Linked DNA regions of Rattus norvegicus. The protein of the gene in region 1 interacts with the protein of each later gene in a biochemical or structural test. Links are inferred from orthologs where the notes say so. Each region holds a gene or a part of one and is shown in the gene's direction. Other genes may lie near its edges.

Region 1 (3,732 bases):
ATAAGATTTCTCCTTAGGGGGAGGGCGTGGCTACATGGGTCAGAGCAGGGGCGGGGCTTGCGCAGCGGAGGAAAGCCTGGCTGGTTGCGTGGAGGGTTGTTTGATTCCCACCCCCACTCCCCTCTTTTTTTCTTTCTTTTCTTTTCTTTTCTTTTTTAAAAAATCTTTCTCCCTGAGTCTTATTAATTTCTCTGTGGGGCTGCGGCTGGAGACCGCGGAGCGTTGGAAATGACGCTCGGAGCTTTAATTACTGCAATGGCTGGACAAGTGTGAGGAAAGCTGACAGTGGAAAAAAAGGGGCACAGGATCGGGGAGAAGGAAAGAAGCACCCCCCCTCCTTTTCCCTCCAGATTTGGACAGGAGATGCAAGGAGACTGAAGAGAGAGCTGAACATAGCCTGGTTTTGGGGGGAGAGGCCGGAACCCTGCCGCCTCTTCGCAATCAACTTTTTTTGGAAGCCTTTATTCCCCCTCTTTCTTTTTATTGTTGACCAACCAGTGAGAAGGAGAGAGAGCGAGCGAGAAAGTGAGGAGTGAACGGGCGAGCAGAGGATCACTCCGGAAACTAGCTGTACGGTTGTGCTCGGAGCACCAGCCGCACAGTCGCGCACACTCCCATCCGCGCGCCCTCCTTCGCGGCCCCTTGCTGGGTCCGCGGGTCCCCGGGTCCTGGAAGCCGCCACCAGCGCCGACTGGCTCGCCAACCCCGGGAAGCCCGTGCACAGAGCGCGCCGCGCCCGCCCCCCTCGCGCCCCCCACGCGCTCCCGGCTGAGGGGGGGAGATCTCCTCCGCGTGCCCGCAAGTGGCTATGGTATTTGGACATGTAATTGTCAGCGCGGGATCTGAGACTTGCCAAAAATGAAGCTGGCGACGGGACTGTGGGTCTGGGGGAGCCTTCTGGTGGCAGCCAGGACCGTCCAGCCCAGCGCTTCTCAGTCAGGTGGGTCGCGGTCTCGCGGTTCCCAGTCGCGCTCCAGCTGTTGAACCCGCCACCGCCTCCGGTGGCTCCCTTCTCCCCTCGTTCCTCTGTCACCCTCCGGCTTGAGGGACCGTAGGGACCTTGCTTCTGGCTTGGGTCGCCCCTTGCTCCATCCCAAACTTACCTTTGTGTGTGCGTGCGTGCGTGTGTTTTTATTGATGCTACAAATGACTCCTCTTTCTTGCCTCCCTCTGTATTATTGTCCCCCCTCTCGCCCTCTCTTTAGCCCCCTTCTTTCTTTCTGGCGCGTTTTCTGGGAGCCTAAGCGGGATCGCTTCTGGTGGCGCCCGTTGTTCGGGGCGTGGGAGACCTAAGCCCCGTCAGTGGAGGTTCCCTCCTCCTCCGGCTGGGAAGGGAAAAATAATCAAACCAAACCGGAGAATCTCTGCACCTCTTCGGGCCGCCAGGAGGTTCCCGGGCTGAGCCTGGCTGGCCTTCCCGGGGTGCAGGGCTGCGGCGGAGCGCGGCTGGGGAGCGGGGTTGGCACCTGAGCAAGCTGGCACGCGGCCGCCGGCCCGAGTCTCCCGTACCCTGCGGGGTCACATCGGACGCTCAGCCCTATCCGGGCAGCTGGAGCGCACCGGGTGCGCGCCTCGGCCAGAGGCCAGGGACTCTGGGCCTTCTTGGTTGGCATCTCGGGGCTGTCTTTCGATTGACTTGGGGCGAGAAGGGGGGGGGGGCTGGCTCGCCTGCCAGCAAGATCTCTTAAGAAAAAAAAAATCCTGGCATACTGAGCCCGGAGCCCGGCCTTCCCTCCCGGTGCTGGTCTTGGCTCCGGGAAGAGTTCTTCCAGTAGTGCAACTTGGGGTTGGCCTGAACTTCTGTTTACTGCCCCGCCAGGCTGCAGAGCCCGCGGGTGGCACTCATTGACTTAGCCCGAGGCGGGCCGGGTGGCGGCTTCCTGAGTGCCGCCACTGTTGGCCCGATCGCCCAAGCCCTAGGTATTTGGACAGAAAAACGACTAATTGACCCCGAGAGGCAGCACAGAGTCGCTGGCGTGCTGGGGCCGCCAAGGCCAATGACAGCGGCTGAGACGTAGAGGAGCTCAAAGTTTTTTGACTCTTGGGAGTTTCTCCCGGATGAGAGGAGGGGACACGAAAGGACTAAGGAGAACCGGTGTGTCTGACCCGGCTGAGAGGGGCGAGAAGAGGGCTTTTGGAGAAGGCAGAGAGATTTCCGGAACCTTCCGGGGCTGGTGGCGGGAACGTGGGAGTCAGCTTGAGAAGATAAAGCGTTCAGCAGTGGCGACAGGGAGAGCTTTAGGTCCCTAGAGGGTGTCCTTCTGACCTCACCGAGAAAGCGGCTGCTTGCTAGTTTTCCCGCTCCGCCCCCGCTCCCGCCTCTTCCTCCTCGCCTAGTAAATAACAAGTTACAATCTCTGAGCTGTTCAAAATGACCTTCGAGTGGCACAAGCTCGCCATTTGTGCTGGCCGTTTGCATACTCCCAGTGACTCCGAGATTCTTCGTGCATTCCAGATCCTGCGCTCCAGCCACCTCTGGAATCAGAGCGGCAGCAAGGACTTGAGATTCCAGGCGGCCGCCTAGATACATCCCTTTCTAGCTTCCCACTCGGAGCCCCTTGCCTTTCCCTTCAATGGGTTGATTATGCACATTGACCCATTCAAAGACACTCGCAACTGTCATGCAGGCTTAGCCGAGAGGAATTTCTATCAGGCCACCCTACCAGGGGGCTGTCTGGCATGGCCTGGGCCGCTGGGAGATCCCCCCTCAAGTCCACAGCAATTGGTATTAACTCTACAGCTCCCGGTTGGGCTATGCCGAAGAGCCCTTTTCAGAATTTAGGCAAGGAATGTAATCCAAATTAGTTCTGTAGCTGTCCCCTTCCGCGTCTCAGACGACACCAGCTTGCTCCTTAGCTCTCTCTGCTCCTTTCCCTGGGCGAATTGTCAGACCCACAAGTGAGCCCATTTAGAAGCACAAGGATTAGCGTGCCATTGTTGTTTCGTGTGTGTGTGTGTGTGTGTGTGTGTGTGTGTGTGTGTGTGTGTGTGACTCTGTACTTGAAATTCTGGGGACACAAAAGAGAGACTCACTTGTTCAAAACACAAAGTGATCTAGATGAAAGGGCCGCACAAAGAAAAGCTCTCGGGTGCATCCCTGGTATAATTGCAACAAGCATACTTAGGTGATCTATTGGAAACTGTCTGTGCCCCCAGGGACTTCTTTTTTTTCCAGGCGCCTCCACCGCACCTGGCAGAGAAAGTTCAGCTGGTTTTAATGTAGTGCTATTATAAAAACAAGACGCTGTCTGGTGAGAGCGAGGCTCTGTGTTTGCGCCTGTGCGTGTGTGGCTGTCTATCCAAGTAAATACATAGCGCGCGTCTCCTCTCTCGCGGTTAGCAGTCGGCAGCAGTTTGGAGGAGTTTGTTTTGGTCCAAATGAGAAATTAAGTGCGGATAAGTAAACTAAGCTGCCAGAGGGCGACAAGATGTTGAGTGAATTGCTTTTAGATGAAACAAATTAAGGAAACGAGGGAAGACAATCTGCTTCTCGCATTATTAGACACGCTTGGAGTTCAGGGGGAAGTGGCATATTTTTGAAATGCTAATTTCTTAAGCAGAAGGAATGCACCTTATTTACTGCTGGATGTGAACGGAATAAAAACATACAGTGGGTGATTCCCTTGTGCGATCTTCAAGATGTTTCTAGGGAAAATTTTACGTAGGAAAACTTGCTTTTCCTTCTGCTTGAGGGGGAAAAAGTCAGCTTTTGAGTATTTAAAAAATAATTCC
Region 2 (2,381 bases), on another chromosome or scaffold:
TGGCCACCCAGGTGCCGACTTTCGAGATCACGTCGCCCAACTCTGCCCACGCCGTGTCGCTGCCACCCGCAGCGCCCATCAGCTACCGCCTAGCGGAGCAGCAGCCGCTCCTGCGGCACCCAGCGCCGCCCGGCCCGGGGCCAGGGCCCGGAGCGGACATGCAGCGCAGCTACGACAGCTACTACTACCCGGCGGCGGGGCCCGGGCCGCGGCGCGGCGCCTGCGCGCTGGGAGGCAGTTTGGGCAGCCTGCCCGCCAGCCCCTTCCGCATCCCGGAGGACGACGAGTACGAGACCACGCAGGAGTGCGCGCCCCCGCCACCGCCGCGGCCGCGCACGCGCGGCGCGTCCCGCAGGACGTCGGCGGGGCCGCGGCGCTGGCGGCGCTCCCGCCTCAACGGGTTGGCTGCGCAGCGCGCACGCGCAGCGCGGGACTCGCTGTCGTTGAGCAGCGGTTCGGGCTGCGGCTCGGCGTCGGCCTCGGACGACGATGCGGACGACGCGGACGGGGCGCTGGCGGCCGAGAGCACGCCTTTCCTCGGCCTGCGAGCGGCGCACGACGCGCTGCGCTCGGACTCGCCGCCGCTCTGCCCGGCGGCGGACAGCAGGACTTACTACTCCCTGGACAGCCACAGCACGCGCGCCAGCAGCAGACACAGCCGGGGGCCGCCCACGAGGGCAAAGCAGGACTCCGGGCCCCTCTAAGGCCTCCCGCCTCGCCCGCCTCACGTCTCCGAGGAGAGCGGAGACCACCGACTGGAGAGGGAAAAAGGAGCGAACAAAGAAATAAAAATATTTTTATTTTCTATAAAAGGAAAAAAGTATAACAAAATGTTTTATTTTCATTTTAGCAAAAAAAATTGTCTTATAATACTAGCTAACGGCAAAGACGTTTTTATAGGGAAACTATTTATATGTAACATCCTGATTTACAGCTTCGGAAAAAAAAAAGAAACAACAAAAAAAAAAAAGAGAGATGGGCCAATTTTTTTGACTCTTTAATAGAAACCTATATTGTGGTGCCTTTTGCTGTACGCTAATCTGGGGCTCCTGGAGAGCCGTCTGGGGTGCAGTGTGGGGATGGGCGCTTATAGGATCCCAAACTGGTGGGGGTGAGAAAAGGCAGGTAAAGAAGAGACTGTGAGGTTCTAATGGTTCTGAGGGTAATGAACAATGAGGAAGAAGATGAAGATAAGACGAAATTTTATCTTCCCCAGTCCAGATCTGGAGTCCTGAACAGAGAGGGCAGGGATCCTAGCCTTCGAGCTGGAATTGAGATGGGGTTATTTCCAGGAGGAGACACAGGCCTCCCGTTACAGCAACTAGAATGGGGAAGGTCCTCCCCAGCCCTCACAGCTGCTAAGGGAAAGAGGACAGAGAAGGCTGTCTCCCCACCAGCCCCCCCGCCTAGGGAGGGGGCAGCTCTACCAGGGGCCCAACCTTCATGGCTCCTCCTCCCCTGCGGCCTCCAGGATGTCCTCTGTCCTCTGCAGCACCTTCGTTTACAGGTCGTCTTTTCTATTTTACGCCTGCATGTCCTTCGCATTTCAGATTCTTTAGATTGAATGCATGGTCACGCTGGGACCCGGAAGAGCCACTCCAACAGTGTATTCGATTCCCCTTTTAGCAATAAAGTAACACCATATCCTCACAGCCCAGCTCCCAACCCACCTATGACTTTCATCTTCCAGTCCTGCCCTCCCCAGCCAGCCCTCACAACTGGATCCAATGCTAATTTGTCAAGAAAAAAAAAAAAAAAAAAAGAAAGGCAGTTGTCTAAAAAGCCAACAAAAATCCCGAACAGAAACAAATGGGAGCCCTGACATGTCCGAGCACCTGACTGTTGACACTTGAACATTTTTATATTATAAATAAAATCAGAAATAACTCCTGTTTGACTGTGTGTACCTAGCCCCAGGTGAGGAGGGAAGATAGAAGGAGGGCCTAGGATGAGGCATGTGGGTACTGGAAGAAAAATTGGATAGGGCCAAGGTAGTCCCCGAGCGGAAGTGACCCTCTCTCCAGTCCCTCTGGCCCCAGCTCCCAGGACCTGCTCCAAGTCTTCCTTCCAAATCATTTATAAGGTGTCCCCCTGGGTGCTAAGGAACCCAGCCAAGGGACTGACGCAAATCGTTCTGCTTTAAACTCAGCCTCAGAACTCTAGCCCAGTTCCTGCCCTGCAGCGGGAAGCTGGACTGAGGCAACAGTTTTCTGCCCAGGTGGGTGAAGAGGAAAGGGTTGTGGGGTTGGCACTGGGGCAGCGGAGGCAAAGATGACCCTTGGGGCTTCAGGCATGTCACAGGCAGAGTCTGGACATGTAAGACAACATAATGGGCACCCTCATTGCCAGAAGGACCAGAACAGCTGCTGCTCCTGAGCCCA

The links. The genes of interacting proteins can lie anywhere in the genome.
Region 2: the proteins of Erbb4 (region 1) and Nrg2 form a complex in vitro, tested with the Homo sapiens proteins (2 studies listed by BioGRID). The link is inferred for Rattus norvegicus from reciprocal best matches to the Homo sapiens genes ERBB4 and NRG2.

Annotation. Positions count from the first base shown.
Region 1 is NC_086027.1:78,042,700-78,046,431, reverse strand, and holds the start of Erbb4 (receptor tyrosine-protein kinase erbB-4 precursor), read left to right. Parts: upstream 1-825; 5' UTR 826-858; coding exon 859-940; intron 941-3,732. UniProt on the Homo sapiens protein: Tyrosine-protein kinase that plays an essential role as cell surface receptor for neuregulins and EGF family members and regulates development of the heart, the central nervous system and the mammary gland, gene transcription, cell proliferation, differentiation, migration and apoptosis.
Region 2 is NC_086036.1:27,892,256-27,894,636, reverse strand, and holds part of Nrg2 (pro-neuregulin-2, membrane-bound isoform), read left to right. Parts: coding exon 1-704; 3' UTR 705-2,381. UniProt on the Homo sapiens protein: Direct ligand for ERBB3 and ERBB4 tyrosine kinase receptors. Concomitantly recruits ERBB1 and ERBB2 coreceptors, resulting in ligand-stimulated tyrosine phosphorylation and activation of the ERBB receptors.